Linked DNA regions of Macaca mulatta. The protein of the gene in region 1 interacts with the protein of each later gene in a pairwise test. Links are inferred from orthologs where the notes say so. Each region holds a gene or a part of one and is shown on either strand. Other genes may lie near its edges.

Region 1 (4,274 bases):
CTCGGCTTACTGCAAGCTCCACCTCCCGGGTTCACGCCATTCTCCTGCCTTAGCCTCCCAAGCAGCTGGGACTACAGGCGCCCACCACCATGCCCGGCTAATTTTTTATTTTTTGTATTTTTAGTAGAGACAGGGTTTCACCGTGTTAGCCAGGATGGTCTCGTTCTCCTGACCTCGTGATCCACCTGCCTCGGCCTCTCAAAGTGCTGGGATTACAGGCGTGAGCCACCGCGCCTGGCCAGACCTGTGTTTTTAACGTTAAACTTGAAGAGTTGATGACTTTATTTTGATCAGAGGTTAAAGAGAATTCCACCTGTAACCCTGACACGCTGCACTTGCTGCTTGATAGACTGAAGTGTTACAGCTGGTGGTTCCAAACAACCTCCAACAGTGGGAGAACGCAGCGTGGACTAAGGCACCTGATGGAAGAGAGCCATGAAAACACTTCTGTGATAGTGCTTCAGTGCAGTTCAACAAATACTAAAATCGAGCTTCCAGTATGTGCCAAGTATTATGCTAGATGCTGGGAATACCAGAAAAAAGAACCTGCCCCCTCTATACCCTTAAGGATTTATGCTTCTTAAATTTTTTTTTTTTTTTAAGACAGAGTCTCGTGTCGCCCAGGCTGGAGTGCCGCGGCGCCATCTTGGCTCACTGCAACCTCGGCCTTCTATATTCAAGCAATTCTCCTGCCTCAGTCTCCTGAGTAGCTGGGATTACAGGCACATGCTAATTATAGGCACGCCTGGCTAATTTTTGTATTTTTAGTAGAGACGGGGTTTCACCTTGTTGGTCAGGCTGGGCTCAAACTCCTGATCTTGTGATCCACCCGCCGCGGCCTCCCAAAGTGTTGGGATTACAGGCGTGAGCCACCGCACCCGGCCTATGCTTCTTAAATACAGGAAAGAAAAATATTTAGTTGTGATGATACAAATTAAATTATAGGGAAATACTGCAATGGCACAGTGGTTGCCTCACAAATCCTGGAGAAACTATCAAACTAGGCCATCAATCCCTATGGGGAAATCTGAAAACAGGTTTGTTAAAACGTATGAGAAATGTGTCCTTTGGACATAAAGATGATGCCACCAAACACTGCACTGCAACCACTAAGCAGCTTGGACTCTATAAGCGTAATAAAGGTGAATTACTTTGGTTAAAGTGATTGCATGTTAATTTAAGAAATTATCTTCCTCCAAAAGAGGTGCTCGTTTTATTTTCCTTTTCTGAGTTACTCAAGTCTACACAGTTTCCTTCTGCCATGTTCAGTGGTTAGCATGAACAAGCATCTGCCATGTTCAGTGGTTAGCATGAACAAGCATCTGCCATGTTCAGTGGTTAGCATGAACAAGCATCAGCATCATTCAATATTTAACTAAATGAGATGTTAATTTTCACTGCAAGATTAGAGCTGAAAACATTTACATAGAATTGCAGAAACCAAAGATGCCGGGAAAAATTCCTGAGGATTATTCACAGTGTTCAGTATAGCGGTTAAGAATGTTTGCTCTCGAGTCTTAAGGGGAACCCTAGCACTCCCCAACATTATCACCTCTATTGTGTTACTGGGAGATAAATGAGCAACTCTGTTATGGGCCTATCAGTGTTAGGCACATCAAAAGTGTTCCCCAATTGCTAGCTCCTGCTATTAGTATAAAAAAAAGTGGGGCCCCACTGGCCCCAAAGTGTTGGCTGCTCTATGATTGTTCTCTGGAGACACCATCGGCAGGCCTATTTCTAAGTGAAAGCTGGCATGCAAACTGAAGAAAAGTGGCAGAGGTAGAAGCGCTCTTCTGTCATTTCAACTGGCATCTGGTGAACTATGCGTAACAGCTTAATTCCCAACTGAAAAAAAACTGTTAACTAGGATGGTAAGGAAGGGATGGGGGTTTGAGGAGTGACTACAACTCCTCCTTTTGAGTGTGTGGGTTCAAAAAACCACTCCCTCCCCCACTTAGCTTTAGGCAAGCCACTCAACCGTTTCAACCTCCGCTTTCCTCATCTGGAAAATGGGATAACAAAAGTTACTCTCAGTGTAATTGGATTGTTTGTACCTCAATGGATAAATGCTGGAAGGGATGGACGCCCCGTTCTCCATCACGTGCTTATTTCACACTGCGTGCCTGTATCCAAACATCTCACGTACCCCATAAATAGATACACCTACTATGTACCCTCAAAATTAATCAATTTTTTAAAAGTTACTGTCTCCTAGAGTTACGGCGCAGAGCGCACAGCTCCCGCTACATCGCAAAACCACTACCACCTGCAGCAGCCGGCCCTCCGTGCTGGCCAAGAAAGGCGCTGGGCTACACAGCCTGCGAGGGGGCGGCTTCTCGGGCTCTGCCACTTACTACGGGACACACTGGCTCACCCGGTCTGCCTCGGAGGAATGCAGTGAGGATTAAACTAGCTAATCCACGGAAAGCGCTTAAAACGGTGCCTGGCGCGTCCCTGGCCCCCATGCGCCTCGGGTCTGATATTCAACTGCGCATTAGCAGGGCCGTGGGCCCCGCGCCGAGGCTTCCTGCGGGCGGGATCCACGGGCACGGCCGGCCCCGCCGCCAGGTGAGCCCGAGCCCTTCCCGGCACCTGCATCCTCAGCCGCCAGAAAAAGCAACTTTTTAACAGTTTCGCAGCGGGGGCCTCCCGGGCCAGGCCGCCGCCGCCGCCGCCCGCCCGCCCGCGGGGCGCCCCCGCCCTCACCTTGCTGGAGGTCCTGGTGGTCGTACCACGGCTCGTCCTCCTTCATTTCAAACTCCTCCACCAGGTTTTCCGCCAGCATCTCGGCTGGGTCCTCTAGGGGCAACGGTCCCCGCCGCCGCCGTCCCGCCTCAGCCGCTGCCCCGGGCTCTTCCCCGGCCCCTCCGCCCTCAGCCAGAGCCGCCCTCGGGCGGGACGCGCCGCCGCCCAGGCTCCGCCGCGCCGCCTCAGCCCCGTTCCCGCCGGCGACCGCCGCCGACCGGCCGGCTGCTTCGACTCGCCTAGCGCCTCCCAACGGCCCCAACGGCCGGGCGTTACGGCGCGAACGTAGGGAGCCAGGTTCTCACGCTGCCGCCGGTCTTCACGCCGCCGCCGGGCCCAACGTGGCACTTTGGCAGAACCCTCCCCGGCCGGGGATGCGATTCAAACCCCCGGCGGCTTCTCAACCAATCGCGAGCGGGCCGCTGGCCGAGCGACAGGGACTTCGTCCAATAGCGTCTCTCCAAAGACCCGCGGCTCGCCCGGTTTCGAGGCCAAGCAGCCAATGACGGGCCCCGAATAAACAAAGAAGGCGGGGAAACAGTGAAGGGGTGCGGCCGAAAGCCCGCCCCCTGATCTGCGCTGTGCGGCTCCTAGGAGCGCGTACTAGGTTCCGGGCTGTGGAGCTGGCGGAGGCGAGTCCTGCCGCTTTGGTGGGTGTCCCGAGGCCAGCGCGTCCGTGGACAGGCAGCGCAGGCCGGAGGGCCTAGGACTTCGGCCTCTGAGAGGCGGGCGGTTGTCGAGAGGCGTCCTTCGTGCCGGCGGGAAGCGCGAGGGTGCCGGAAGCCGGAGGTCCGCCGCCCGGCTGCCGCTTCTCGCATGTTGACTCTGAGATTTGCTCCGGGTCCGGCAAGGAGACTCGGAGTCGATCGGGAGTTTAGGGCTGAGAAAACGCCCACTGAGCGGTAGCTCTTGTCTCGTTGACATCTGAGCTCTGGGAATTACGCTCCCTAAAACGGTGGGCGCCAGACCCCGTTGAGAATCTGGGGCAGTGAGGGATGCCCGAAGCTGTCCACTTGGAGGGGGAAAATTGTAAGCAGGGTTGCAACGATTTTTAAAAGGTACCTCTAGACCACAAGTTAAGCATCTGGGGACGTGGCATTGCACCTGGAGGGGTCAGGCTGCAGCCCCAGCACTTAGTAGCCAGCAAGGCAGAGCACGCTGTCCTCCACCGACATAACCCAGCAAATACTGCTCATGAGTAAAGCTTTTAGCACCATCTTACAGACAAAGCACGGAAACTCTTAAGCAGGATGACAGACCTGAAGGTCAATGTTCTCAACCTTGACGTAAAGGTAAAATTGCAGCTGATGGAAGACAGCAGGGCCAATATCTAGCAAACTTTGAGCAACGAAACAAAAAAATCGAGGTTTAAGTATATAATTGAAAGATTATCTCTAGAACATAAGGTAATAAACTGTTAGAAATTCGGAAAGAGGGAAGAGGTGGAGAGGAGTGTTAGTTAAATCCTGATCTATTTTAGCAGTGAGTCGACAGATAATACCTTACATTGATAATCCAATAAATCGTTT
Region 2 (3,647 bases), on another chromosome or scaffold:
CTCACTATGTTGTGTGTGTGTGTCTGCATCTCAGACCTGCTGCGTGGGGACCGGTGTTGTCTGATACGGCTGACCCCTGGAAGCAAGCGGACACTGAGTGCCCACCGATCTGTCCCCCGTAGTTCAGGCAGCCCGAGAGGCCGCCTCGAGTGAGTGTGGGGCAGCACGCAGGGTTCTGAGGGTGTTTAAATACAAGGGCTCGGGGGATTTCAGGTGTCAGGCTTCCTTGCGCAGCTCAGTTTCCTTCTGGAAACAGTCAGATGTGGTGCTGAGATCCATCCTCCATGCACTGCAGCTCCTCTCTCTGCCAGGAACTTGGCTTGTCCCACCATCCCTCAAATCTGCCCTTCAGCCTGTTCCCCACAGGGACAGATGAATTGCGCATCCAGAGAGACCCCTCGATTTGGGGCTTTGGGATTGTGGGACGTTCTTTCACAGTCTGCAAAGGAGCGCCACTCAGTCAGTGCCTTCTTCTGAGAAACTGCGCCCTTCCTAGTCTAACTCCAGACCCCCACCTCCTCTCCTGAGCCTTTTTATGCCAGTTCCCACGTCCCTCTCTCCCCTCTTGCTCTCATCTCCAGCCTTTGCTCTGCTCACATTCATCCCTCTTCTGGCTCCCTTGCCCAAGCAGCTCCATTGCCCAAAACCAAGGAGTTGTCCTGGCCACCCTCTCTTCCCTCTCCATATGCAATCTGTCCCTGGGCCTGGAGCTGCTTCCTTTTTGCTGTCACAGAAACCTGTCCTTTCTCCCATGCCTTAGCCAGACGTGGAGCCGGCCTCACCCTTTCAACCTCTGGCCCGCCTGCCTGCCGCAGGGCATGTGTCTAAAACATGCACCTGCTTGTCTTCAGCCCAGAGTGCCCTTCCCACAGCCCCACCTCGTCTCCGGCACCCTGCGTCCCTGCTCTCTGGCCTTCCACGCTGTAGCCCTGCTGACTCCTCACAGCTCCCGGAGAGCACTGAAGTCAGCCTTACACCCCGTTCCACTTTGCCCCACTACCTGGACGCCCCTTGCATTTGCCCCGTCCTTTTAGTGAATGTGCAATGAGTAATGCCTGTGCCACATGGATGAGTCAGAAGGGGTCCCTACCCCCCTGGGAACTGCAGACTGCAGGAAAGATGGATACATGAATGGCAACCACAGGAAAGCCAGAGGACGGCGGGGGACTGGAGGAGGGCACATTGCACTATCAGGAAGATCAGCTGACCCTTCCTGGAAAAGGTGGCATGCACAGGAGGCCCACAGAGCCTCTCGCAGTGGCCGAGGAAGGAAGAGAGGCAGTGGGCTGGAGGCGAGTGTGGCACGAGGGACGCAGAGCCGGCAGTGCGCTGGGGAGCAGGGTGGCAGGGAGAGAGAGGGAGGCTGCAGGGGCGACATGGTCAATTGATGGAAGGGCTCTGCAGCAGAGGCAGGATGGCGGAAGAGCACTTGGGGGACGTTCAGCAGGGGAGTGACCAGGTCCACTGGCCCGTGTGAAAGCGCACCCTCACTGCTACATGAAGAAGATTGCAGAGAGTTGACGCTGGAGGTGGGGGCTTCCCGGGGGCCATGCTGCCATCCAGGCAGGAGAGGCCAGGTGGGACCAAAGCAGGAAAGGCAGGAGGTCGAGGCTGGAGAGAAGCAGCACCGTCCAGAGGCGTTTCTCATGAGCAGTGCGCGGGCAGTGCTTGGCGGACGGAAGTAGGAGTTTGGGGTGTGACTGGACAGCTGGCCAGAGAGAGGTTCCAATAGCCAAGAGTGGGTCCTAGAGAAGGGAGAGGCTTGGGAGGAGCTCTCTGCGTTCGGCATTGGGCCTGCTGTGCTGGCCTGTGAGGTCTGACAGGAAATGAGGTCAGGGAGCATCTAGGGAGTCCCACAGGAGGGAGGATGCCACGGTTCTTGGGGCCCCATAGTGGGGCAGGTCATGCAGGACCCGTGGAATCCTGCAAGAAGGGAGGTCATGGTGTCCCTGAGATCCTGCAGAAGGGGAGGCCATGGCATCCCTGGGATTCAGCAGGAGGGGAGCTCATGGCACGTCAGTGGGATCCCACAGGAAGGGAGGTCACAGAGTGTCCATGGTATCCCAGGAGGGAGGCCGTGGCATCCCTGGGATTCAGCAGGAGAGGAGGTCATGGCACATCAATGGGATCCCATAAGAAGGGAGGTCACGGAGCGTCCATAGTATTCCAAGAGGGAGGCCATGACATCCCTAGGATTCAGCAGGAAGGGAGGTCCTGGAGTGTTCCCAGGATCCGGCAGGAGGGAGGTCATGGCACATCGGTGAGACCCTGCAGGAGGGGAGGCCGTGGCGTGTCAGTGGGCTCAGGCAGTGAGCATTGTGGACGTCGATGTCTTCCGCTGGGTGGGTGGTGGCTGTTTCTCTCAGCAGTTGTGGCTATGAGGTCAGCATTGGCCTCTCCTTCACACTCAGGCTCCCCTCTGCAGACTCGGTTGACACCTGCGGCTTCTTTTCTGTTTCTCGGTGCCTGACGCAGAAGAGGTGCTTAGTAAACCCCAAATGTTAGTCAGCCTCCTTCCCTGGGCCAGGTCACCTTGACCCCGGGCTGGGGTCCTGATGGGCATTATTTTCTCAGCACCGTGGATAGCGCCCAAGTGCCTGTTGTGCGGGAAGATGAAGGCGCCTGCTGGCCTGTGGCAGGGCGATAAGATGCCTTGAGTCCCTGATTGTCTGCCCCAGAGGGGGGTGGTTGGCAGCATCCCTCCTCCTGTCTGATGAGCTCAGAGGCCCCGGCTCTCTGTGCTTCATGTATTTCCTCTGCCTTGCAGATCATCCCGAAACCAAGCGAGCCGGCCCGGCAGCCGGAGAGTCACCCAGAGGAGACGGAGGAGGAGCTCCGTGAGCACCAGGCTCTGCTGGACGAGCCCTACCTGGACCGGCTGCCGGCGCAGAAGGAGGCGCACGCACCAGCTGGCGTGCAGGTGAAGCAGGAGCCCATTGAGAGCGATGACGAAGAGGCAGAGCCCCCTCGGGAGGTGGAGCCGGGCCAGCGCCAGCCCAGTGAGCAGGAGCTGCTCTTCAGACAGGTGACTACAGGCAGGGAGGGCACCAGCAGGCTGGCACGCACAGCCACCCTCGATCCCCGGGCAGCATCTTCTGTGTGGTGATCACGGGAGCTGCAGGGCATCCTTGTGCTGTCGCTGTCCAGTGTCTCACCCGTCTTGTCCTGGCCAGTGAGGGAGGTTGATGTGGCTTCTGTTTTGTCCCAGCTGTTCCTAGCGATTCGAGATGTTTGCCCACTGCGGGTGGTTACGTAACTGCTTTCCAGCCATGCACAGGCCCCAGAGAATGGGTTTCCTTCCTGTTTGTAGGCTGTAAATGATCACAGCATCCACGTGTTAGTGAGATACAGCATGCTTTTTAAAGAAGTGAAGGAAATAGAGGTATTAATTGATCAAAAAGACAGGCAGGGTCTGATCAGAAGTCAAGACCTTTTGTGGCCCAGTGGTGCTAATGAGCAGCCCTGCAGATCCAGACAAGACGGGTACGATCGTGGCACCCAGAGCCAGTAAGGCTTCAGGGCACTGACACCCAGTAACCAAATGCACAGGAGCCTGATGAAGAAGGCCAGTGAATGATTGGTTAATTTCCAGTGAAACATAAAACTTCTGAGTCAACAGAAATACCTGAGGCATTTGGGCAGCCAGC
Region 3 (3,647 bases), on another chromosome or scaffold:
ATTTTACACATACACACACACACATCTATGATGGCTATATTGTTTTAAAGAATAGGCAAAATTCCTCAGAAATGTTATAACAGATACTTCACAAAGGCTCTGAGTTTTACTTTCAACAATTAATTTTTCCTTAGATCTTTTTCTTCTAAAGTAACAACCTGGCCATATTTAAAGTACAGTACTCAAGCTCAAAAGAAAATTAAAATTCTTAATTTTCTAGAATATTCTGAAATTTTCAAAAGGAGAAAAACTGCTCAAGTAAATCATGGAGTCAGTAAATTAAATCCCATGCTGAGTAAGTACAAAATTCATTGTATATATATGCCAAATTAGATATTTTTTAACAAGTAAACACAAGATGATCAACATCTCATTTCCTGCTTACTTTTAATTTTTACAAAGCGATATTCTAATAACACTTTAAAACAGATTCTTTAAAGGGCACTGAGGTACGGACAGTTAAAATCTATAAAGGCTAAAGGTTTCTTAAGCTCCAATGGCTTGGCTGAAAGGTTTTCTTCCATACTTGGAAACTTGATTAGCATTATATAAAAAAGCCATATCTGACTTGCTGCGTAACCAAAGTTGTGGTTATTCTTTATACAGCATCTAAAATTTCACACTCCATCAACACATGTTCAGCCTATTTTATCTTGGCAATTAATTTATTATTTTTCAGAACACAGTGAAGCCTTGTTTTCAAGTCATTCATAACTTTATAAATCAGTCTTGCACATGAAACCATGCATCTGTGAACCGTAGAAAATCCTTGCACTCAGGAGATTAAGCTCCTGACACCTTTGCTGATTAATAATCATGGAAAGAATAAGATCAGAAGCAAAATAAATGATCATTTAATAGAGAAACTCACAAAACAGCCCTTTAACTTACATATTCCATCATGTTATTCGTTTCACATTTCCTTTTGCTCAGTCTCCAATGCAAGCACAGCTAGACAAGTAGGAGAGTAAAAGAAGAAAAATGAGCTCTATTTTATTGCAGCACACAGACTAACCCATTTGTCCACCTTTCATATTTTTAGTTCAACAAAAGCATCTGTTTCCATACTGTGCAATTCAGACCCCAACAGTACGAAGCTGCTCCCTGTGGTACTCACCTTGTGGTATAACCTATTGTTTTCCCATTCTAATAACTTCTCAATCGATCTTCGTGTCTGGAAGACAAATGAGAAAAAAGTTTACTCTTGACTGGTTTTAGAAAACTTTGTTTTGCAGCTGCTTTTTCTGTGAAAAGGGAAGAGGTGTAAGACAGTGACTGAGTATAGTGTGGTGTGCATCACTATCCATTTTCTAAGCACTAAATGGTAACCTGAACACAAAGAGTTCTCTTTCTTTAAAAAGATATGGCTTTATTTCTATCATATGAATCTTTTTTTACTAGCCTCTGATTTAAAACTATCAAGGTTTAAAAGCTAATGTCATCTGCCAAATAAAATTAAATCCCCACTTTTTTCAAAAATATGTTTCCAATACTTAAATAGTAACAGAAGCTCCTTAATACATATTTTACAACAAAAGTAAATATTAGTTAACAAAATGCAAATGGCCTTTCAGTAAGTTCCAAAACAAAAAATTGGAAGTTAATATTAAATCAATGAATTATAAAATCAAACTAATTTTCACACCATGCTTAAAATAATGCCCATATTTAAAAGACAGCTTACTGATTATTCTACCAATAGATTTTTTTGAAGAGTCAAAATTTTATTTAAACCAACATAAAAGTGCCATCTGATAGTAAAATCAAACTCTTAATTCAATATTACTGTTTCAGGAATCAACTGAGAATTTACTTCAGTTGACTGATGCAAGCAAGATACGCTATGCTGCAAGAAATGTTTCCTGCTTGGGAGTATGGATAAAAGAAGATAATTCATGGTGCCAGGTGTTAGGATGAGACTGACACAGCTGCAGGTGCAAAAATGACAGTGTTGCCACCAGGATCAACTGCAACTTGGTTCAGCTGCACTTTTCTTGCAAAGGAAAGAAAAAAACATCTTACCACTATTAATGTGGTATAAGGAAGTACTAGTAATCAAATATGAAAATGTGCATGTCAAGCAAGGATTAGCTAGGTGCAAAACTGTTAGGATCAAGCTGGGTTTGAACAGTTTAATGTTACATAATAAAATTTTAACATGTATTTAAAATATCTACTTTAAATAGTTACTTTACCTTTTAGCATATTAAACATGCTAAAGACACACCAAAGTCACATAGGTGCCAATTATAATTCATAACTACCAATGAATTACGACTACTGCCTTACGTTTTCCAAGCTTATGTCACAAAACTCAGAAAATCAGCTACTTCTCTGGGTAATCATATGCCAATGACTAATTTATTATTACATTACTTTTTTTTGAAGAGTCTTTTTGGCAAGAATTTTAAAGAAAAAAATGTGCCCTTGTTAACAATGATCAGCAGACCTCACTTGTTTCTTTGTAAAGATAGCCTTTTAGAGGCAGCTCTCCTTTTAAATGAAAATAGGGCAGCAGTTATGGTCACACTTTTTGTTAATTTAGTTGCCAGTCAGCCCCAAATCAAAAGAAAATAAGGCTGCAGAGTGTAATTAACATTCAGTTCGGTCGTTTTGTCCCTTGTCTAGCCCCCAAGCTTTGTTAAAATTGCCATCTGAATGCTGAAGGCTGTAGGGAAATCGATTTGATTCTAATCGCACCATGAAAAGAACATGATCTAACTGCTTTCAGCCCTCCGTAAATCTGTACTAGGTCTTTAGCACAATGCAACTTCCAATTTAAAAAGCACTGAATGTCTCGTCAATGACTTTGTGAAGAAAAAAGAACAAGGAGCAGACATAAAAATTCCAATAGTTGTTTAAGCATTAAAGTTCATTTGCATCACAGCGAACCTGAAAAGGGCTGACCTCTCAAACCGCCTCTCAGGTCTATGAAGTTGTAGCCTTGACAAGCTCACATTGACAGAGCTCATTGACTCTGAAAGGCTACTCTATCAATGGTGAAAAATGGCAATAGGTTCTACTCTGAGCAGGCATCTGCCTGCCCACCCGCTGCTAAACCAATGGCAAAACCGATTCAAAACCTGAATCTACCTTGTAATCTTTCTTTCTAGGGCCTTTTAATAATAGATTAAGATTACTATACAATTTGAGGTTTTACTTTTACTGATGATTTTGGGGGTTGGTGGATGATGAAAGAACTAGAGTGGAACAAGCTTTCCAAGTCCATTGTCTTATATTAATGTATAAAATAGTACCCAGAAGCTTAACACTACATTCTGCAAATACTTATTACTTAAAGAAAAAAATGTAGTTACCACCATCATTTCATCAGAAATTTAAACCCATGCTATAATAAGGATAGATTTCATTATGATATATAGACACATTCATACACACAATTTTAAAACTTAAAAATATTTACTTTAACTTAAATCAACTACTAGTATTTGAATAAAAGATAATTATAAAGTATAAATCTTAAATTCCAAAATATTTATGTAGGAATTCTCAATTTCTTCTTTGCCTATAATTAGGAGTTTAATGATAGGGCTTGGTATAATAATTGTATCTTACAATATTTAAGAATTCTAAAACAAATAAGCCCTGATATGCCACATTCTGAATAAGCATATAAATATAAAATA

What was found. The genes of interacting proteins can lie anywhere in the genome.
Region 2: the proteins of CDR2 (region 1) and HDAC4 interact in binary tests that used the Homo sapiens proteins (3 or more experiments, as listed by UniProt). The two-hybrid records come from large-scale screens. The link is inferred for Macaca mulatta from reciprocal best matches to the Homo sapiens genes CDR2 and HDAC4.
Region 3: the proteins of CDR2 (region 1) and CHIC2 interact in binary tests that used the Homo sapiens proteins (3 or more experiments, as listed by UniProt). The link is inferred for Macaca mulatta from reciprocal best matches to the Homo sapiens genes CDR2 and CHIC2.

The regions. Positions count from the first base shown.
Region 1 is NC_133425.1:21,841,703-21,845,976, forward strand, and holds the start of CDR2 (cerebellar degeneration-related protein 2), read right to left. Parts: upstream 2,861-4,274; 5' UTR 2,786-2,860; coding exon 2,707-2,785; intron 1-2,706.
Region 2 is NC_133417.1:144,361,866-144,365,512, reverse strand, and holds part of HDAC4 (histone deacetylase 4), read left to right. Parts: intron 1-2,767; coding exon 2,768-3,025; intron 3,026-3,647. UniProt on the Homo sapiens protein: Responsible for the deacetylation of lysine residues on the N-terminal part of the core histones (H2A, H2B, H3 and H4).
Region 3 is NC_133410.1:79,479,577-79,483,223, reverse strand, and holds part of CHIC2 (cysteine-rich hydrophobic domain-containing protein 2), read right to left. Parts: intron 1,175-3,647; coding exon 1,118-1,174; intron 952-1,117; coding exon 892-951; intron 1-891.